4 linked regions of the Oryctolagus cuniculus genome follow. The protein of the gene in region 4 interacts with the protein of the main gene of each other region in a biochemical or structural test. Links are inferred from orthologs where the notes say so. Each region holds a gene or a part of one and is shown on either strand. Other genes may lie near its edges. The genes, in order: WBP2, SMAD7, SMAD3 and WWP2.

Region 1 (5,728 bases), on a different chromosome or scaffold from region 4:
CTTCAAGGGGGCAGGGAGGGCCAGGCATGTGGCGTGGCAGCCGAGACACCACTGGGTCGCCCACTTCCTACACCAGAGTGCCTGGGTCCAGCCCAAGCTCTGCTCACCATTCCAGCTTCCTGTCCATGTGCACCTGCCCCCCTCGTGAGACCCCCCAGGGCGAGTTCCTGGCTCAACGCCCACACAACGCCCACTGTCGCAGGCATTCGGGAGTGAATCAGCAGATGGGAGGGGCTGCAGGCGTGCTGCCCGAGGGGCGGCCGGGAGCCGGGGGAGTCTCTGGCCTGTGCTGCGCCCACCGGCAAGGGCAGAGTGGCAGGAGCGTCCGAGTCGGGGCCAGGGGCTGCTGTGTCCACACTGCTGCTCGAACCCGGCCTGCGTGCGTGTGGAGAGCCCGCGGGGCGTTAACATCCTGATTGCAGTCTGGGGGTGAAGACGCCACCTTGGATTCCTTTCAACCCCGGCCGTGCAGGGACGGCGTCTCATGGCTCCTCTGCCGTGGCCACGTCCCGGTGATCACGGCCTGAAGACGCGGAGAGGTGTCGTGCTGCTGCAGGCGTGCGCCTTCCAGTCCGGCCGCTCGCTACTGCTTCCCGGGGGCAGGAAGTGCTGAGCCCCTGCCGCCCACGTGGGTCCCAGAGAGCTTCCGGGCTCCCGGCTGTTGTGGGCATTTGGAGGAGGAACCAACGAATGGAAGATCTCTCTCTCTCATGCAAGCACGCTCTGCTTTTTAAGTAGTAAAAATAATCCAAAACAAAAAACAACCCATCCTGACAACGCGCCCTGCTGCTTGTCGCTTGCGGCCGTCTTTCCACTGCCCTCCGCGGCCACGGCCGGCTCCTCCTCTGAGAACATCCGCTCGTGCTCATCTCCAAGCCGGCGTGGGCAGCTGGGAGGCGAGCCGGTTCTGCAATCTGGCGTTTCTCTCTGCAGGACTCGCTGGGCTCGCTGCCCAGGCTGGAGGCTGGAGCCAGGCTACTGCATCCTGTTTACCACGTCCACCACTCCGCGTGAGCACAAAGGCCTCTCCGGCTACTCTCACAGAAACCCAGGCTGGACGACCAGGCCGCCGGCCTCCAGGCGGCACCCCGGGGTAAGCTCCGATTCACTGCCCAGCAGCCCATTCGGCTGTAGTCGGCCCGGGGTCCGGGAGCACGGGACAGAGGAACGGGCGGAGGGAAGCCCCTCAACCCGCAGGCTGAGGCTGACCTACGACCGGGACTCACCTACCCCTGAGCCCCCAGACCCACGGCGCCGCTGAGCAACTCACCCGGTAAGGGGTAAGGTAGACCGTGCCTTTCTTGGTCCCTTTGAAGGCTTCTGGCACATTCTTCATGTCATTGAACGTGAGTTCCACATGATCATAGGACATCAGGATGCTGTGGCCAGGGGAGGGGAGAGGCCCGGATGAGACACTGCAGAGGTGGGATCTGGGACCCGGCACTGGGCCCTCCTCACAGTGCAAGGAAGGGGCTCACGCAGCCGAGCAGGGTCCCCCGCAGCCACGTGGCCACTCCAGCCTGCAGGCGGGGCATCATCTGGGCCTTTCCTAGGTCCCTTTCTGTCACCTGAGCAGAGCACACGTGTCTGAGTCCCGGGCATGACGCCACACCTCTCAAACGGCTCCCTCCGGGGTTCTTGGTCTGCGGGGACACCTGACCACGAAGCCCCAGGACGATCCTGCGTGTGCGCTTTCCTGGGAGGAACCCACTATTCTACACATCCAGTGTTAAACACCAGGCTCAGTTACAGACACAACTTCCTCCTCCAACAAGGCCACTGCGATGGGCGTTCAGCCTGGTGGCTAAGGCGCCACCCTGGGGACACCGCACTGCGTATGGGAGAGCCTGGACCCAGTCCTGGTCCCCACTCCCGACTGGGAGGCAGCAGCGGCGGCTCTGGTGATGGGGTCCCCGTCACGCACGTGGGAGACCTGGACCCCTGGCCCCGCACTGGCTGCTGTGGGCATTCGGGGCAGATCAGCGGATGGGAGTCTCTCAAAAACAACAAAGCACTAAGTACAGGCACACTGAGCCCCGCGGGGGGGGGGGGGGGGGGCGGGCCCAGCAGGACGTCGTTCCGGTCCCAGACAGATACATTTTAAGTCCCCCTTAGAAAGACAAAGTCCCAGGAGATCAAGCGATGTTAGGCAGAGGCTCCAGACACAACACGCCCGTCTGTAACCTGAGGCCACTCTGACTACGCGATAGAAAAGCTCCAAGTTCAGCCCCATCTGGCTCCCCCCCCTTCCCAAATATTACAACTTTCTCCACTGGGGGGGGGGGCGTAGCAGCAGGGAGGAGGGCGGCCCAGAGGAAGACGTGCCCAGCGGCCAGCTGGTGTTAGTGCCCAGCGGCCGAGCAGGTGGGTGCAGGGAGAGCAAGCTCCCTGGGGTCCAGGGCACCCCGCAGTCTCCCCTGGCAGGGCCCGGGCTGGGTGCTGTCCGGGCTGGCACGGCTCTCCCTGCACCCTGTCCGCCCTGGAGACCAAGGCTGCTCCTCGGTTCCTTCTGCCTTCGAGAGCGAACCAGGCTCGGCGTGGCTCAAGCCAGGCCTGGCTGGCCAATGCCCCAGGCCTAGGGGGCAGGAGAGGCCACCCAGAGGATGGAAGGAGGGGAGCGATGCCCTGAGCAGGGGCGGGGAGCAGGACCAGCCCTGACCCTGGCGGCGACCCAGGCCAGCAGGCCTTCGCGACAAAGTGGCCCGGTGGGTGGTAACCTTTACAAGGACCTACTCGCGAGCCGGGACATCCGCCCTCGGGGCCCTCAGCCTCTCGCCTGGCCCTAAGCCTGGCCGTGAAGCCCGGGTGGACTCCTCTCCTGCAGCGCCCGTCTGCGCGGCTCAGCGCCCGGAGCTCCGGCAGTGGCGCGCCCACCTCCGGGCGCTCCATTCGCCCCACCGGGCCCCGCGTAGGGCAGGAAGTTTGCCGCGCGGGGGTCGGCGCCCACCAGCCGGCCGAGGCCCCGGGCCCCGCACGTAGTAAGGGAGTCAACACTCAGCAATGGCAATGTTTGCGCCAGGCTCCTCCCAGCTCCCGGGGAAGGCGCCCGACAGCCACCCCCGGGCCTCCCCACCCGCCGCCCCTGGGATCGCAACACCGCAGCCCCCCACGGGCCCGCCCCCAGCCGTCACTCCTCCTCGGCGCTCCACCAGTCCGCCCCCGCAGGGGTCTACTCCCCACCGCCCACCCCCGGACACCCGCCCCGCTGTCCTCCGGGGTCCTGCCGCGGAGTTTTCACCTCTCCGTGTTGTTGACGATCACTCCGCCGCCCTCCGAGTGATTCTTGTTGAGCGCCATAGTCTCTCCGAGAGGGGTCCCGAGACTCAAACCGCAGTACGCTTGCGCCCCACTTCGGCCCGCCCCTAGTGGCGTCGTTCTTATTAGAACCAGCCAATCACAGCTCCTGCACGGAGGCTGGCCCAACCACCTGATCCCGGGCGTCACGTGGTAATAGTTTATTCCTTCTCCCTCTCCCCCGAGTTCCGCCTGCGTCACAAACAAGTTGGAGACTACAATTCCCAGTAGGCAGTTCGCCCTCAGCCTGGCCCGGTCCCTACGCTGATGAAAGAGATGCGTTCTGGAAATACATTCTGGGACTTGTAGTCTTCTAGACCACAGGCTAGGATCGACGCTGTGGTTTGCGTAAACAATCGGACTGTGCGCGTCCCCAGAAGGCTGGGAATAAACAGTTTAGCTTCTTCCTGGGGTAGGGGCTTCATCCTAAAGGCCACGGGCGCGTATTAATAAGGCCTACAAGGACAGAATATGGGCCCTGGGGCTGGGGCCCAAGGCCCAGTTTCCCTAGGAAAACACGGCCACCCCTTTAACCAGTCAAGCCCAGGCTCTCCGAGGTGGGCTGCGAGGACGCAGTGGGGAGGGGAGACTCACTGCCCCCGCCTCCGCCATCCCCTCCCCACCCCCTCCACTCCTCCCTCCCCTCTCCTCCCCTCTTTATCCCCTCCCCCCTCTTCTCCTCCCCTCCCCTCTACTCCCCTCTTTATCCCCTCCCCCCTCTTCTCCTCCCCTCTTTATCCCCTCCCCCCACCCCTCCCTCCCCTCGTCCCCCTCCCCTCTCTTCTCCTCCCCTCCCCTCCCCTCTTTATCCCCTCTCCCCCTCCCCACCCCTCCCTCCCCTCGTCCCCCTCCCCTCTCTTCTCCCCTCCCCTCTCGCGGTGGGGCCGGGGTCCCTCGGGCTCCCTCCTCGCCGCCGACTCCACCGCAGCTGGCCTCGCGGTGGCGCTGCCCGCTCTAGAATGTTCTGCCTGGCAGCCCCAGCCAGCCCGGCCCCTGCCTGGAAAATTTCAACCAGACGGAGTCCCTGAAACCAGGCGGAGTGCGAGGCCGGCAGCCAGACACCGGGGCTTCCAAAGCTGGGCTGGCTCAGAGAAGCTGTGATTCCAGCGGCCCAGGGGCAGGCGGCGTCCAGAGTCCATTCCGGGAATGGTTAATCTCACGGGTCAGAGTTTGGTTGCCTTAGCTTTGAAAGCGATTGCGTCCCGAGGACCGCGTCACGGGGAAGATCCTGACACAGCAGCCTCGTGCGATCCTGTGCCAGGCCGGGCCGCACCTCGCAGGGCCTGGGCTGGGCACTGAGCGGGTCCCGGTGACGGCCGCCCCACGTGGTCGGGCCGGTTTGGCAGGTGCCATCTCTATAGCCCATGTAAAGAACTCATTTGTATTTTTAAAAAACAGGGCAATGAAGGGGGGCCAGCGTTGTGGCACCATCCTGCGACCCCGGCATCCTATAAGGACACAGGTTCGGGGGGGGGGGCGGTTCCCGGCTGCCCCACTTCGGATCCAGCTCCCTGCTAATGAGCCTGGGAAAGCAGTGGAAGATGGCCCGAGTGCTTGGATCCCTGCACCCTCGTGGGAGACCAGGATGAAGCTCCTGATGCTTGGTGTTCCTGGCTTAGGCCTGGCCCAGCCCTGGGTGTTGTGTGGATATTTGGGGAGTAATCCAGTAGATGGAGATGGAAGGTGAATCTCTCTCTCTCCTCTCTCCCTGCCTTTCACATTAATAAATTAAAAAAAAGGAGGGGGGAGGGACTCCCCCTGCAGTGGGGCGCTCCATGGAAGGGAGGTAGGGTAGAACCTTCAAGCCCCAACCCCACCCCTTGGCCAAACTAGGGTCCAGCTAGAGGCAAGATGCCATCTGCTGTCACTCCTGAAGTGGCTTCAATAGCTGTAGCTGGACCGAACTGAAGCCAGGAGCCTGGAACTCCATCGCAGGGGGTGCCGGCATCAGCTAACGCACTGGTTAACCCACTGGGACACAACACGGGCCCCCAGCTGCGGGATCGGGGGGGGGGGGGCTGAAGCTCAGCCGGTTTTGGACGGAATACAGGATTGTAGCGCAGGGCGCTGTGGCCACCAGGGGCCTTGTGACCAGAGGAGGAGTGTAGCCACGGGGACCTCCCGGTGGGAGCCATAGCAAGCTTAGGTGATGCCGGCCTGAAGTGTTCGGGGGAGCCACGGCCACACCGCTGCTCCAGGTCCTGGAGACGCCGGCGACCCCAGGGCTGGAGCTGAGGGCCCCGCAGCAGCTCGTTGCTGGACCAAGCCCTTCTGGGCTGGGGTCTCGGGGCTGGAACCTCTTCTCCTCTTTCCTGTCGCTCTGCCTGTGTCCGGTAAGGACCCTTCGTTTCTGAACTGAAGCGTGCGTTCTCCAGGCCAGAGCTGGCTGGCGGAGCGCAGAGAAGGGCGCAGGTGCGCCTGCGACAGAAGCCAG
Region 2 (5,142 bases), on a different chromosome or scaffold from region 4:
CTACCCACCCTCTGATCCATGGAGAAGTTGCAGACAAACCCAACTCTCTTGGGTCAGACCTCACATGCCGCGCCTCTGTCTGCCCCACTTGGCCTGGGGCTTTTCCTAGTAACAGAATTGACTTGAAACACGGGGAGTTGGTGTCGCCATCCCTGGGTGACTTGCTCTGCACCGCGGGGCTGCCCGAGCTGCCTGGGGTACCACGTCTGCGTCCTGGCTGAGGGCGCAAGCATCGCATGGGAGAGCTGAGCCCCGAACCCACGCTGAGCCCAGAGACCTGCGCTTAAGCTGCCTGTGTATGTGCTCCTTTTGGGTTGTTTGCCCGTTGGGAACAGGGTCTGGCAAAGGTTCTTGTGTGTTGCAGTGATTGGGGTAGGTTCGGGTCAGACGAGTTGGCACTGGTCCCCTTGTGTCCTTGTCGCTGCCACGGGCTGGTTCGTCTCTCGGAGCAGCTGGTTCCCTGAGCGGGTGGGGAGCAGGGTGACGGGTGCTGTTAACCTTTGAGATGTCTGATGCAGAGGGCAGGACAGGATGAGGCAACCGGCCGTGGCGCCTGGGTCCCGGGGAAGGGAGGACCCTGGGCTGCTGCGGGCGAGGCGTGGTGCTGTTTGCGTTCCAGGGTTGCCGGGTGTGAGCCTGTGTCTACATTTCTGCCCTTGGTTTGCCCCTGATCAGCACTGAGAGGCCTGTGGGAGGCAGCCCTTCCTGCCAGGCTCACTTCCTGTCTGCCTGCCTTCTGCAGCGCCAGCCTTCTGCCCTGCTGGAGCCCCGGGGAGGGGGCTGCGGGCCCGGGCACCTTGCACCCTGGCAGAGAGACTGCACATGCATGCAGTCCAGTGCCTTGCAGAGGTGAGAGCCAGGAAGACCCCCGCCTCCTGGCTGCTGGCCAAGCTCACCCATGTCCTGGAAGGGCTGAATCTTGGAACGTCTGCTCCCCATGGGTGCCTCCTATGTGCTCAGAATCCCACAGGTGCCTCTGGGACAGCCCCAGCTCTCTGGCCTGGAATGGCTTCGTACCCCATTGTTGGTCATCTTTGTCTTTCAGTTTAGAAATCAGGAAGAAGACAGTTTCTTGCTGACCCACTGTGGGGCCTTCGGGTCCGGTCACCCTGTGCCATTGGCCAGGGTCTGAGAGTCCCTGAGCTGCTGGTCTCCTGTCGGCGGCAGGAGCGCCTTGCTGGATGGTCACCCCCCACCCTCCGCCCCCTTCCCTTTAAAGGGGAGAGTTTATGCTTTCAGGAAAAGGAGGAAGGGGAAGGGGGGGAAAACACCTTAAAGGAATTTTAGGCAGACTCAGCATGTTTTTGGTGTTGCTCCAAAAATTCCCTAAAGTGTAATAAAAAGAAAACGCTCGCAGGCATTGATTAGTGAGCTTTTCTTTGGGATGCTTTGAAATGAGCACATGCAGTTGGGCAAGAAGCTGGGTGCAGTTCCTGCGGGAGGGCAGGAGGCGCTGAACACACAGGGGAGGCTGTGACCTTGAGGGCAGGGCCCCTGGGCTCTGCCTTTCGGAGGTGATGGCCAGAAGCCGAGGCTGAAGGCCCGGGGACTTCTCAGCCCCTGGCTGCCTGGCCTGGGAAGCCCCGGGCCAAGCGCCCACACCGGCCCTGTGGGGAGACTTTGTGGGCTGCGGGCCCGATTCGGGGAACTGGTCTGTGACAGTGACGCTGAGTGCTTCCCAGAAACCAGCCCGGCTGGCGGGGGCTCTGCCGTGTGGGGTGCCCCGGGAGCACCCAGGGCTGCGTGCCCCGCAGTGGATTTGCTGGGGAGCGTGTCTTTGTGCTAGGAAGAGCCCTGACAGGAGGCAGAGAGCGGAGCTGCCCTGGGGGGGGGGGCGGGAGGGGGGCACCCTGCCGGCTCTCAGGGGCCCTGTTTACACTCAGGGACACCCTTTATCTGGGCTGGGCCATTAACCTCAACAGAAAGAGGCTTTTTCCAGGAGAGGTCTGGTAGCGGGGTAGCTACGCGGGCTGCCCAGATGAAAGAGAATCCCGCTGGAGCGCCCCTCCCCGCCCCCTCCCAGCTCCCTCTGCCCCGAGAGGCCCCGCCCCTTTGGGGCCTGGCATGGGGCACCTAGGTCCTCTTCCTCCTTGCTCCCTGCCAGTGCCTGCCAGCTTCCAGTGGCGCTAGGCTGCCTGACACCCAGTGGGGCTCCCCGAGGGAGGAGTCTCCCACCCCCAGCGCCCCTGCCCAGCCCCTCTCCCAGGCCAGGTGTGTGCTGGGGGCAGCCAGGGCTTTCTCTCCGCCAGAGATCTTCTGGCTTCCGTGGCTGTCACCGGCCTCTGGTGTAGCCTTGGGAGGTGAACTCCCAAGTTCAAAGATTGCCCGCACTCGCCGCTTTATTAGCAGTTGATGGATCCTTTGCAGACGCTCGATGCCTGATGATTCACTCTTTGCTCAGAGCCCTTGCCTCTCTCATGTTTTCCCATATGTTGCAAGGTGTGTGTGTGAGAGAGAGAGAGAGAGAAAGAGAGAGAGCACACACAGCCCAGGGACACACAGTGCTCTCACGCACGCTGCCATAACACATACACTTAGGCAGCGCACGCCCGGCCATCCAGGGATGGGTGGTGACCGCCAGTCTCTGGGCATAGATTTCAAAGTTGGGGGTGGAGAGGGAGGGGGAGAGATGAGCCCTGCCACGGCCACAGCTCAGCACGCGTGTGTGTGTGTTCGTGGCTGCCTTGGTGGAGTGCAGTGTGTGCATTATTTGTGCAGACTTATTCACAGGCCACCTCCATCCAGGACTGGCTGCTGCTTTAGGAAAAAAAAAAAAAAACAGCACTAATGGAGCCGACTGGTGCCCAGGTCCCAACATGCCTGCAGAAGCTGGAATGAGTCTGTGTTAAGCTGCACCGGTTCCACAGCCCACTGGGGTTCAGGACAGGCGCCCCGAGCCCTCCTCCTACCGCCGACCGACCCCTGGGACTGGGCAGCTCCCTGTCAGGGCCTCTGGGAGCCCGGTTGCTCCCAACACAGACCCCAGCGAAACGCGAGTCACACTTCAGTCCCTGCCAGCCCACCAGACGGGGAGGGCCGGGCTGCAGGGAGGGTGGCATGCCGGGCTTTCTTGCCTCCCTCCCCGTTCCCCGTTCCCCGTTTTCTTTTTTCTTTTTCTTTTCTTTTTTTTTTTTTTTTTTTTGTTAACAAATACAAGACTTCCGGTCTCCACCCTGCCGCCACAAACCACAGCGTCCCTGCAGCCTGGCTGGGCTAGGGAGATTTATGGGCCCCAGTCTGAGGCCTGCCCGCTGGCTCCAGCTTAAGGAGGAGTCGGAATGCCAGCCGCCTGGCCCCCTGCCCTCCCTACGATCCCCCCTCCCTTGCAGGTCCCCGGAGCAGAGGGTTGGGAAAATCACCTTAACAGACTCACCCTGGGCTCTGCAGAGCCGGGTGGGGCCTGCAGGAAGGCCCTGGGGGAGGAACAGCCTTGCACTGTGCAGGGTCAGGATGCCTAGGGGAAAAGGGGGAGGGGGCACCCCTTGGCACGGCCACTGGGGCCACTTCCAGGACATGGTCCTCTCTGTTTTGGACTCCTCACCTTCTGGCTGGGCAGGAACCAGTTTTGTTAAGGTAGTCTGGCTTGATGTCCCAGTGTGTGTTGTGATTGGGCATTTTGAATTGACCCCTTTTGTGCAGAGCTGCTGGACAGTGGTGGCGGGGGACCACCAGGGTGCTGGATCTGTCTGTGTCACTGCCTGGCTCTGAGTAACAAGCTTTCTGGGTCCTGGGTTTCCCATCAGGACAGCCCAGGGCGCTGGCATCAATGGCTTTCAAAGTTGCGTCCAGTTGAAACAGCTGTAATTCCAGGCCACCTGTAACCTTAAAAGCAAGAGCCACGAGACTCAGGCACCTCTGGCCCGTGCTCTGCAAGGATGGGGCTTCCCTGGCCAGGTTGGGGGAGCTCAGGGCTGTGCACCAGGAAAGCCGGGCTCTTCTCTTACTGGGTCACGATTCCAGACTCCAGGGCCTGCAGCCGGTCCAGGACCACGGCCGCCCCTCCTCCCTTCTGCCTTGGCACTGAGTGTGTGTTTTGGTCCTAGAAGCAAAAGCAAACGCCAGTCCCCTCCGCCACCAACCGTGCGCCCCCCTTTTTGTCTTGCAGATTCCCAACTTCTTCTGGAGCCTGGGGATCGGTCACACTGGTGCGTGGTGGCATACTGGGAGGAGAAGACGCGAGTGGGAAGGCTCTACTGTGTCCAGGAGCCTTCCCTGGACATCTTCTATGATCTACCTCAGGGGAACGGCTTCTGCCTCGGACAGCTCAATTCGGACAACAAGAGTCAGCTGGTGCAGAAAGTGCGGAGCAAAATCGGCTGTGGCATCCAGCTGACGCGGGAGGTGGACGGCGTGTGGGTCTACAACCGCAGCAGTTACCCCATCTTCATCAAGTCCGCCACACTGGACAACCCGGACTCCAGGACACTGCTGGTGCACAAGGTGTTCCCCGGCTTCTCCATCAAGGCTTTCGACTACGAGAAGGCGTACAGCCTGCAGCGGCCCAACGACCACGAGTTCATGCAGCAGCCGTGGACTGGCTTCACCGTGCAGATCAGCTTCGTGAAGGGCTGGGGCCAGTGTTACACCCGCCAGTTCATCAGCAGTTGCCCGTGCTGGTTGGAGGTGATCTTCAACAGCCGGTAGCCGCGTGGGGACAGGACAGAGCATGAGCCGAGCAGGCCAGCGTTCAAACTACTTTGCTGCTAAGGTTTCCCTCCCGAATGCTTGCTTTTCATGCAGACTCTTTGGTCGTGTTTTTTGTTGTTGTTGTTTGTTCCTGTTTTCTACTCGTCATTCTTCTTGTTTGTGTTCCGTTTTGTTCTTTGAGAAATAGCTTATGAAAAGAATTGTTGGGATTTTTTTTTTTTTTTTTGGAGCAGGGGTGGGGGTGGGGAGGCCTATGGTTGGTGGGATACCCCAGATAAGGAAAGGAGGGGGAAGCAGTGTGTGGACTGGGGAGCAGCCCCTCACTTCTCTCCAGGCATCATTTCACCTGTCGGGAGTGTGCGTGTGAGTGAGCGTGTGTGTGAGTGGCCGAGGCGGGGAACGCCACACTCTCTGCTCTGTGTTTCTGACGGATGTCCCCGCCGACAGGTTGTGGCACCAGCTGTGTCCCTCTTGCCCTTCGGACGCGTTCCGTGG
Region 3 (5,142 bases), on a different chromosome or scaffold from region 4:
GGGGAGTGAATCACTGGATGGGAAGTGTCTCTCTCTCTCTTTCTCTCTCTTTTCTCTTTTGGCATAAAGAGAGAGAGAAAGAAAAAAGAAAAAAACAAGGAAAGGTTCAAGCTGGTAGGAAGAAAACCCTGGCCTGCGACTCCATGTTGCAGGAGAAGGCGGGACCCACGCCCTGGGCCCGTGGAATGAATGGGCCTCACAGATGACTCTGGAGATGTCCTCCATGATTTGACAGCTTTTGGCTGCTGCTGGGTTCTCAGCTACGCAAGGCTGCCCCTTTTCCTTTAAGTTATACACCTGCCGTGTGGCCCACGCCCCCAGGAAGAGGACAGGCCCAGGAAGCTCCTGACCCCAGCTGACCAAAGAACAGGAGGGTGCACATGGGAGGAGCCCCACCCACCCAGGCCTTCCCTGCACCTCTCACCAGCACACAGGGATCAGCCTGCAATGAAAGCCAGTGGCCATCTTCCCCAGAGCCACCTCAAAGCCACGGAGGGTTCTTTATTTACTAACCGCCCTCTGGGGTCTAGGTCCACCCTGAGATCCCCCAGCCCCTGCTGCCAGCCTGGCACTCGCCTCAAACCTGGGCCGCCCTCAGCTGTTCACAGGGGGTCTTTGATTTGGCTCCGACTCAGCCTTAAAGATAAGCTTCAAAACGGCTGCTCCACTTCCAATCCAGCTCCCTGCTAATGCACCCGGGGAAGCAGCAGAGGATAGCCCAAGTGCTCTGGAGACCTGGAGGAAGCTCCTGGCTCCTGGCTTCGGATCTGCCTAGCTCTGGCCGTTGCGGCCATCTGGGGAGCGAACCAGCAGACGGAATACCTCTACCTCCCTCTCTCTCACTATGCCTCTCAAATAAATACATCTTTAAAAAGTTGAGACTGGCCATATAGAAATGCTTACACTGGGTACTCAGCAGGCACTCAATAAACTTTTGCTTCCTGATTTGTGGCAACTGAAATCATAAACCCCAGGAAGGCTGTGGCACCTCCTCCCTGGTCTGAATGGCTGTGTACGTGGACGGGGTTGGAGGCGCAGGGGGCCAGAGGCCCTAGCACTGGCAGCCAGCAGGGAGGCCAGGCCCTGAGCAACTGCTCTGGGGTGTAACTGAGGAGCCCCACCCACTGAAGCCTGGCAGACAGACGGCCGCAAGCCTAGCACCCCCTTTGGATAGATCTGATTAATGTGCCCAGCAGGGCCCTGCATGGAGGCTGAGGGAGGGAAAGGGGGCAGGAAGCAGGCAGAGGAAGCGGAAGGAGGGACAGCAGAGGGTGAAGCCGCGCACAGAGCGTCCCTTCTGGTCTGCATCCTTTGTAACAGCAGGCACTGCACACGCAGACAGTGGCAGGGAGGCCCGAGAGCAGGCAGAGGGAGAGGAAACTCGGCAGGTGGAGGGAGGGAGGGAGGCTGGGGTGCTGCCTGGCTGGCCTGCTCCCCGCGCTAGCCTCCCCTGAAGGCTGGAGGCCGGCGGCGACGTCCATGACGCACGTGTATCTGAGTCGCTTTTGCTCTTCTCTCCTGGGCTCCGGCTCCCCGTCCAGAACAGGACACCTGCTAGGCAGCCTGTGCCTCCTCCCCAAGAAACTCTCGCTGACAACTCCAGAAGCTGCTAGCCTGGAGCCAACTGGGTCCCACAGCGAATGATGGGGCGGGGAACATCCGGGGACGCAGCAGCAGAGAGCCAGGCCGGGGCCTCCCGGGGGGAGCTGCCCATCTCCTTTGGCCACCGCTCAGAAATGCTGACTTCAGGGGCCTTTGCCGGGCAGCCAAAGAAAAACCCTCCTCCCCTTCAGGCTCTCGCCCCACCCGGACCTCCTGAGCTGATGGATTCCACCTGCCCACCTGCCCACGGCCACACCTCAGCGAGGTGCAGACCCAGCCGGGGGCCCAGACCCAATGCCAAATGGCCTGCCTGGCTGCACCAGCCCCGAGTGCCAGGCCCTCTTCTCTCTCCCTTCTCTGGAAGCCACACTGAGCTCACCTTATTCCCAGAATCTCCCCACTCCCTACACTCTTAGCCCACCTCATACCTAAACCCCACCAAGACCCAACTCGGGAGACCCCTCCCCTGCCAGTCCTGCTCCCTCCCCAAGCCGCCTTGGTGGCCCTGATGCCAGCAGGGCCCTGCAGCTCTGGGCGGCTCAGTCTCCTCCTCTCTTCCTGGTATCCCACACAAACTCGCTTGATAGATACTGGATAGAAAGACGGGAGGCAGGGGTTGAGGGGAAGGGGGCAGGGAGAGAAAGGGAGGGCGAGACCCCAGCAGAGGCGGGCAGCCTGTTGCCCCCCCGACTGACCTGCGTCCATGCTGTGGTTCATCTGGTGGTCGCTGGTCTCTCCATCTTCGCTCAGGTAGCCTGGGGGCGGGGTCTCTGCCATCAGAAGGCAGCTGGTTCATTAAAAGGCCTCTGACCCCCTCTGCAAACATCACCCCTTTTCACACCACCATGCCAGCATCGGGTGGCTGCTGGGGCACGAGCTCTGGGTTCCGCTGTCCCCATACCAGTGCGCCACAGCTGCCCACCTGGGTTGTAACCACCTCTACCCCTGCCAAGCTCACTTTTCCCACCCTTGGAAATCGGGTGAAGCCCCCGCCTCCTCCAGTGAGGCCTCCGGAGCCACCCCCAGGCCCTGACTTACCCCCTGAGCGAGCAGCGCCACCTGTGTAGGACCTGAGCCGGGCTGGGCAGTGGGTCGCTCCCTAACGCGCGGACCCAAGCACACAGGCCTGGAGCCGACCTCAGCACAGAAAGCTAAGCCGTGGAAGCCACGTCTGAATGCCAAGGCCCCACAAGGCAGGCAGCGGGATCGCAGCCCCAGCAAGCGCAGGCTTCCAAGAGGCTGCCAGGGCTGGTGATTCACATGTTATTCACATGTAAACGAGGGGCATCAAAAAAAAAAAAAAAAAAAAAACCACAAAAAACCAAGAGCCCTGTGGACGTGGAGCCGGGTCCTCCTGGCAGAGGAAACGCTCCAAGTGGGCCTCCCGGGTGTGAAGGCCAGGGGCACTCACAGCGCCGCTCCCCTCCTGGCTGCCGGGCCGCCCGATGGGATTCCGCCCAGCAGCAGCCCCGCCAGGGCCGCGAGGGCGGTGAGAGAAACACGGCATTGCTATTTCCGCTTCCAAAATAAATGACTGCGCCGAGGCTGGGCGGAAGGGTCACGCCGCTGAGCCGTGCCAAGAAAAGCATCGTTAGGGAGCGGGGAGCTGAGGCCACGGGTTCTCTCCCCACAGGGCTGCGATCCTGAGTCAGGGGCCCCCGGGGGCCAGCGCCAGCCGGCCAACCAGCCGGACAGAGAGGGGGTCCCCCCACCCCCCGCCCCGGGGGTGTACCTGGAATATTGCTCTGGGGCTCGATGCCCGCGGGGAAGTTGGTGTTCTCGGGGATGGAATGGCTGTAGTCGTCCAGCGGGGGGAACTCGGCCGGGATCTCCGTGTGGCGTGGCACCAGCACAGGAGGTAGAACTGCCGGGGTGGGGCGGGGGAGGGGGGACTTAGCAGACACCCGCTCAGGGCCTGGGGCCAGGCTGGCACCACAGCCCTGCACCCCGAAGCCCACCCCAGACCCTCCCACTCGCCCCGCCAGCCCCGATGGCCCAGGCCGGGCGTACCTGGCGTCTCCACTCTCTGATAGTGGTAGGGATTCACGCAAACCTCATCCTTCTTCATGTTGAAGGCAAACTCACAGAGCTCCATGGCCCGCAGCTCGTGGTGGCTGTGCAGGTCTGGCCATCGCCACAGGCGGCAGTAGATGACATGAGGGAGCCCCTTCCGATGGGACACCTGCAGCCGGCCATCCAGGGACCTGCGGGGCAGGGCGGGAAGAGAGGGCCACGTGGATTTGGGCTTCCTTCTGCTGGCAGCTCAGCAAGAAGCTGCCCTCCCCCTGCTCACCGTCCAGCCGCTGAGGTCCCGGGAATCAGAGATTCAGAGCTGGAGGAACCCCAGGAGAAAACAGAAACCAGCCCCACCCCCAAGCTGGCAGTGTGGGCGTGGCCCCCACCAGCCCTCAGAGTGCGTTCTGCAGGGACCCCAGAAGGGGACAGCACTGGAAAAGGGCCAGGAGCCACCCGTCTGGCAGAGGTGCAGAGGGGACAGGAGCCAATGAGACACGGCGGCCGACGGCAAGAGGGACGGCAGAACACACCTGCTACCCGGAGGGCTCTCACATCCTCCCGGTCCCTCCCCTGCCCCCCCCCCCCCCGTCTCTCTCTCCCGTTCTTGCGTGCTTTGTGGGGTGAAGCAGAGCAGGAAATGGGGGAATGGGAGGGAGTTTAAAACAGCAAAACCCACAGGCCAGGCCCCTCGGGAGTTCCTTGGCCTCCATCCGAGACTCAGACTCAAGCGTGAAAGCCACAGGGGCCGCGCATACAGTGAGCGGGAACACCAGCGGCGCCCTGTGTGGCGACCTGGCCTCACAACGGCTGTAATCCAGCGTCGCCAGCTCAAGCGTGACCCCTGACCCACAGCTGGGTCCCAGGAAGCTTGCTGGAAGGGCAGACTTGGAGCTGACCCCCATGAACTGCATCCGCAGAAGGGGGGTCCCAAGGGGACTCGGGAGTGGCAGAGGGGATGAGGCAGGGGAGGCCTTATTTGGTTCGGGAAAGTGACCTCGTGGTCACAACAGACCAGTGGAGCAGCAGACCCTGCTTCCCTGGAGGTTACAGAGTCCAGTGGGCAAGACTGCTGTCAATCAAATAACCAGACAGCTGCAGTGCAAACTAGTACAGGGACCCACCATACATACACACACACACACACACACACACACACAGTGTATGCCAGGGGCCGCCGGTGTGGGCAGCGGGTTAGCTGCTATCTGCAATGCCAGCATCGCATGTAGGCACTGGTTCAAGTCTCAGCTGCCCCACTTCCGATCCAGTTCCCTGCTAGTGTGCCTGGGAAAGCAGCAGAGAGCACCCACATCTGAGACCTAGACGGACTTCCAGATCCTTTCTCCAACTCTGCTTTTCAAATCAATCAATCTTTACATTTTAACGGTATATGCCCATGGGACCCCACTGTGCTGATGGGATGGACACAGCACCACTGAGGAGGTGATGGCTGGCCTAAAGGTCCAAAGGATAGGCAAGAACCAACCAGGCAAAGAGGTATGGGGACAAGGACTTTCGGGGAGGGGG
Region 4 (5,698 bases):
GTGCGCTGGCCGCGGCGGCCATTGAGGGTGAACCAACGGCAAAGGAAGACCTTTCTCTCTGTCTCTCTCTCACTGTCCACTCTGCCTGTCAAAAAAAAAAAAAAAAAATCCTATACCATAGGACCTACAGCAGTGTGTTGCGCAATAAATGTTGGTGAAACGTATCTATTCCACAAATTAAAGAAGTCTCCTGTGGACAAGGCACTGATCTGGAAGCTGAGACAAAGCTCCTGTCTTAGTAATTCTTATCATGAGAAACATGGATTTGTAAGATTTTCTATTCTTACAGAAGTCACACAGTGCTAAGTCTTGAGGACACATGGAAAAATAAGAAAGTGAGAAGTGGGCTGGTGGGAGGGGAAGGAAGAGATGAGTTGCATTCGTTTTTTTTTTTTTTTTGACAGGCAGAGTGGACAGTGAGAGAGAGACAGAGAGAAAGGTCTTTCTTTTCTGTTGGTTCATCCCCCAATGGCTGATGCGGCCGGCACACCGCGCTGATCCGAAGCCAGAAGCCAGGTGCTTCTCCTGGTCTCCCATGGGGTGCAGGGCCCAAGCACTTGGGTCATCCTCCACTGCACTCCTGGGCCACAGCAGAGAGATGAGTTGTATCCTAAACAGAGTGATCGTGAAAGGCTTTGCTGTGTGACAGCTAAGCAAACATCTGAGAGAGAGAGGGTGGGAAGTGGTCGTTACTGTCTCACTATATGGGGAAAGAGCTTTTCAGGCACTGGGAGAAGCAAGTCCAAAGGTCCTGAGGCCAGAGTGGCCAAAGGGCAGAGTGGGGGTGAGAGAAGAGAAATAAGAAGGGACTGTGGGGAGGGGAACCATGCGGGTGACCACCTATATTTCTAGCTTTCACTGCTTAATGCACCCTGCATGCTTTTTACTTAGTCCTCTTGCTCTTTGGTGAACACTTACTGAAAGCCCACCCCACAAGGAAGCCTTTCCTCACTCCTCTAAAGCAGAATTAGGAAAACGCCCGACAATGAAATTGGAGAAGCGTCAGTTTCGTGGCAGGGTTTAACAGGTTTAACGAATTAAGAGATGGCTGTATATTATTGAAAGGCAAGGGACTGAGTTCAACCAATTTCATTTGTGTGCATGATTGGATCCATCCAAATGCTAAGGCTCCCCCCACCCAAAAAAAAAAACAAAACGGGGTAATTAGGTTGCTAGTATTAATTTTAACCAATGGTAATTAAAAGTGAAAAACAGTCTTCATCCAACTTGTCAAAGCTGAGGCCCTGCGCCGTTAGTAAGGGATGTTGACATAAAATGTTCTTGCTAAGTTGTATGCACCTGCAGATGAAGGGAACAGGGGTTGGCTGGGCGTGATAGGGGGCATTTTATGCCCCCAGGCAGGGGCTTCGAAGCTGTTCTACTTCATGTCCCAGATGTTCCACGACGGACAGGTCTGTTGCTTCTACAGTCTAGAACCGCGCCTGGCACGTGGCAGGCATTGAGTCACCAGGATTATCAAACACAAATACAAGCGGCACAATCCAATGTGATTTTCAGATAATCTTAGTATAAATATATCCCATGTAGGATATTGGGCAGACACGGTTGTTTACCCGAAACTGAAATTTATCTGAGATTTCACTTTAATAACTTTATTAACCCCACTAAGGAGCTCAAATACTCGTGATTTGTTTGACCCAATTGAAAGAGGATCTCCTCGCACCTGTAAAATGGGTCTAAATCACAGCACGCGCCTCCCTAGCGTTGCTGGGCAGATAAAGCCAGCACGTGGCACCTGGCGAGCCCTCAGTTTATACGACTGCTGGGAAACAAATTCATGAGCGGCAAAAGTTTCGCCTTATACACACGGCCACAGGACCCGGGCCTCTTCGAGGCCAAAAGCTCGCAGGCCAGGCCTAGGTTGCCGGCACCTGAGAGCCCGGCCAGCCTCTTCCGGGTCAGGTGACCGCGCGCGGCCACGTGACCCGGCCCGAGTGCGGGCGGTGGAAGGCGGAAGTGGGAGAGGAGTTGGGCGCCGCTTCTGGGGCCGGGGCAGGTAGCGAGCGCGGGCGCGGCGGGCGCGGCGGGCGGGCGCGGGGCGCGGAGCGGGCCGGGGGCGGCGGGCGGCGCGCGGTGGGCTGGGGGCGGCGCGGCCCGGGCGCCGGGGGGCGGCGGCTTCCTGTGGGAGGGGCCTGGCGCGGCGGTTCCGGCCTCCGAGGAGGGGTGTCCCGGCTCCCGCCCGAGCGGGGTGGGCGCGACGCGGCCCGCGTGGGGCCGCTCCGAGGTGGCCGGCCGGGAGCCGGTGCTTCCGGGAGCGGCGCGGCGCGTTGGTGCCGGGGGGCTGGAGGGACAGGCATCGCGATCTCTGTGGAGGGAGCAGGGGAAGGGCGAGTTGGGACGGAGCTGGGAAGGGGGTGCCGAGATGGACATAGGGCGGGCAGGGCAGGGGAGCAGCCCGGGAGATGCCGCCTGAGCCCCACTGAGGGCGTCTTCCCCGCTGCGTCTTTGGCAGCGATGTTTCCCCGAGACTTGATTTCGGGCTCAGTCCATCTTTAAACTTCAGGAGGGATCACAGAATCTTGGTCGTCTTGCTCTCGTCACACCCACTTAGTCCCGCGGGCGTCGGGTTTCCACTTCTTGGGAACCTAACCCTTCAGGATCGCCTTTCTTTGGGGCTTTTCCCCCTTGATCAAGTCGTCTTCGAGGCTGAAGACAGAAAGCGTGGGCGCTCTGCTGTGGCTGCAGGAAGGTTTCAGCCTACGCTCTTGACCATGACCTAGCCCAGCACCGCCTCGGCCGGAACACCGGCTAGAGGACCGTGTACCTGTGTGCTAACGACTTCGGGTCTGGCTGTGGTTTAAATTATTCAGCTTCCCTTACCACGTGACTGCTTATCTTGACCAGCTGTAGCTAGGTAGAAGTCTGTGTCCTGTGCCTTAGAACTATGACCTGGCGCCTGATGTTGAGATTAAATACCCATGTCACAGCTGTTCATCTTCCTCTTTCTGTAAATGTTCACTGAATGTTTTGCAGAAGTGAGTCTCATGCGTGCACACACAAGAGCCAGAGTCGTTCAGGGTTACAAGTTAGAGAACAAAAGGACTTTACTAAATGTATGAGGTGTTCAGGTTTTTGAAGTGTTTGATGAGCATTTAGAAGTTAATTTTTGCAGCAGCCCTGTGATTTAGATGGGGAAAGGTCTTTTTTCCACGTCATGAGAAACAGACAGACTTAAAGGAGTCTTGACTTTTAAAACCAATGTGTTCTTTCTTGTTTACTGGTCTCTTCCTGCTGGACGTAAGAATCTTCAAGGGCAGATACCGTGTTTTATTTGGCTTCTTTGACCACTAGCCAAGTGCCTGGCATGTTGTGGGCACTTGGTCAGTGTTTGGCAATAAATGAATTTCTAAAGTCATACAGCTGTTAAGTGTTGGGCAAGGGATTTGAACCCAAGTCTTGGGTCTCTAGTAGGCAAGCTGCTGTTTTCTGTGCTGCTGGTCTATGTGAACATGATAGGCATAAAAGAAGGGCTTGGATCGGCTTCTCATCACTTAATGAGTACTTTCTCCTTTACCAGGAGCGTACGCCCACGTCTCATTTAATCCTCTCGGAGATCTTCTGAAGGCTGGGGTTGTCCCTGTCCCGCAGATGCAGAGACTGAGGCTTGCTGAAGCCCTTGCCTTCGATTCCAGAGCTAGTACATGACCCAGCAGCCACTCAGGCCCACACCTTCTGTTTCCAGACCATCCTTTTCCATTTATAGAAGTGATAGAAAGTTTTATTGAAAAAAGTTTTTTTTTTTTTTTTTTTTTTTTTTTGACAGGCAGAGTGGACAGTGAGAGAGAGAGACAGAGAGAAAGATCTTCCTTTGCCGTTGGTTCACCCTCCAATGGCCGCCGTGGCCAGCGCGCTGCGGCCGGCGCACCGCGCTGATCCGATGGCAGGAGCCAGGAGCCAGGTACTTTTCCTGGTCTCCCATGGGGTGCAGGGCCCAAGCACCTGGGCCATCCTCCACTGCACTCCCTGGCCACAGCAGAGAGCTGGCCTGGAAGAGGGGCGATCAGGACAGAATCCGGCGCCCCAACTGGGACTAGAACCCGGTGTGCCGGCACCGCTAGGCGGAGGATTAGCCTAGTGAGCCGCGGCGCCGGCCTGAAAAAAGTTTTTAAAGTACAAAAAGTATGATGCTTTAAAGAAAACATACTACGAATTAGAGAAAAAATTGTCCATGTGCAGTGTAACTGAGGACTAGAAAACCCGCTACTGCAGTGTCTTAGTCTGTGTGGTGCTGCTTAACTATACCATGGACTGGGTCGTTTGTAAGTGAGAGAAGTTTATTTGAATCATGGTCTGTAGGCAGGGAAGCCCAAGAGTTGAGGGACTGTGTCTGATGAGGGCCTTCTTGCTGTGTTGTAACACGGTGGAGGGCATCACATGGAGAGAGAGAGAGAGAGAGAGAACGAGAGAACATAAACACTAAACTGCTTTTCCAACAAACCTGTTCTTGCAGTAATGACATTAATCTACCCGTGAAGGCACGGCCCCCATAACCTAACCGCCTTTTAAAGGATCCCCCTCTCATCACCTGCACTGGGGGTTAAGCTTCTGACACAGGACCTTTGGGGAACACATTCAGCCACAGCATTGCCATGGCTGCCTCTTCCCAGGACAGTGCTCCTCCCACCAGTATTGCAGGGACCTGTTCCATGCCAGGCAGTTTCTAGAGTTGCAAGTAGCCTCATGGTGCTGGTGAGCCCTGGAGATACGCTGTAAGCATTCAGTCCACACCAGACTGGAAGACTTAGCATAGGAAAAAAGTAAAATGTCTCTTGGGCATTTTTTTTTTATAACATAGTAAATGAGCAAACAAATAGAAGTCATCAAATTATATTTTTGATTTATTGAGTTAAATGTAATTAATTTCATCTCACTTTTTAAAAATGTGCTTCCTAGAAAGTTAAAAAATCATGTATGGTTCCCGTTGTATTTCTTTTGGACAGAGCTGTTCTACATACCAGGAATATAGCAGTATAGAAGAAAGGCAAAGTCTTCCACCTTTGTGGGTCTTAAATCTGATTGGGGAAAGGTACAATAAGGAAACCAGCTAAGCAAAATACGTATTGTAATATGGCAGAGAAGAAGAATGTGAAAAAAAAAAAAAAAAGAATGTGGAGTGTTGGGTAGAGTTGCAGTTAACTTTTAAAAACATTTATCTGAAAGAGAGAGCTCCCATTCACTTGTTCCAGCCAGGGCTGGGTCAGGCCAAAGCCAGGAGCCCAGAGCTCAATCTGGGTCTCCCATGTCAACTACTTGACATCATCTGTTGCCTCCTAGTGCATTAACAAGAAACTGGATCAGAAGCAGGGAACCAGGACGTGCACCAGGCACTCCTGTGTGGGTTCCTGGTGTCCCAAGTGGGGACCCAGCTGCTAGGCCCAATGTGTGTCCCAGGGAGGCAGTTTTAAGTCTAAGGTTTTTAGAAAAAATCCCCTTAGGAGGTCAAGGTTAAGTAGAGATGTCAGGGAGGTGGGAGAAGGGGCCATGTGACTGAGTGAAGGAATAGTAGTGCTGACAGAGGGAAGAGCAAGTAGAACAGCCCTGCAGGAGGGCATCTGGTAGGTGATGGCAGCAGTACGGATGCCCACATGGCTGGAGGGGAGTAGAGAGGAAGCGAGCAGAGCAGTGTTGCATGTGGGAGGAGAGAGGTCTGAGCCTTGGGGGGCCTTGCAGGCCATTG

The links.
Region 1: the proteins of WWP2 (region 4) and WBP2 form a complex in vitro, tested with the Homo sapiens proteins (4 studies listed by BioGRID, with this or other methods). The link is inferred for Oryctolagus cuniculus from reciprocal best matches to the Homo sapiens genes WWP2 and WBP2.
Region 2: the proteins of WWP2 (region 4) and SMAD7 are reported together in a solved structure, tested with the Homo sapiens proteins (2 studies listed by BioGRID, with this or other methods). The link is inferred for Oryctolagus cuniculus from reciprocal best matches to the Homo sapiens genes WWP2 and SMAD7.
Region 3: of the proteins of WWP2 (region 4) and SMAD3, one has a biochemical effect on the other in vitro, tested with the Homo sapiens proteins (2 studies listed by BioGRID). The link is inferred for Oryctolagus cuniculus from reciprocal best matches to the Homo sapiens genes WWP2 and SMAD3.

What each region holds. Positions count from the first base shown.
Region 1 is NC_091448.1:4,795,352-4,801,079, reverse strand, and holds the start of WBP2 (WW domain-binding protein 2), read right to left. Parts: upstream 3,904-5,728; 5' UTR 3,298-3,903; coding exon 3,239-3,297; intron 1,380-3,238; coding exon 1,271-1,379; intron 1-1,270. UniProt on the Homo sapiens protein: Acts as a transcriptional coactivator of estrogen and progesterone receptors (ESR1 and PGR) upon hormone activation. In presence of estrogen, binds to ESR1-responsive promoters. Synergizes with YAP1 to enhance PGR activity.
Region 2 is NC_091441.1:28,937,256-28,942,397, forward strand, and holds part of SMAD7 (mothers against decapentaplegic homolog 7), read left to right. Parts: intron 1-4,105; coding exon 4,106-4,644; 3' UTR 4,645-5,142. UniProt on the Homo sapiens protein: Antagonist of signaling by TGF-beta (transforming growth factor) type 1 receptor superfamily members; has been shown to inhibit TGF-beta (Transforming growth factor) and activin signaling by associating with their receptors thus preventing SMAD2 access.
Region 3 is NC_091443.1:89,949,062-89,954,203, reverse strand, and holds part of SMAD3 (mothers against decapentaplegic homolog 3), read right to left. Parts: intron 3,807-5,142; coding exon 3,613-3,806; intron 3,467-3,612; coding exon 3,335-3,466; intron 2,919-3,334; exon of another isoform or gene 2,641-2,918; intron 2,373-2,640; coding exon 2,298-2,372; intron 1-2,297. UniProt on the Homo sapiens protein: Receptor-regulated SMAD (R-SMAD) that is an intracellular signal transducer and transcriptional modulator activated by TGF-beta (transforming growth factor) and activin type 1 receptor kinases.
Region 4 is NC_091449.1:52,876,251-52,881,948, forward strand, and holds the start of WWP2 (NEDD4-like E3 ubiquitin-protein ligase WWP2), read left to right. Parts: upstream 1-1,881; 5' UTR 1,882-2,017; intron 2,018-5,698. UniProt on the Homo sapiens protein: E3 ubiquitin-protein ligase which accepts ubiquitin from an E2 ubiquitin-conjugating enzyme in the form of a thioester and then directly transfers the ubiquitin to targeted substrates.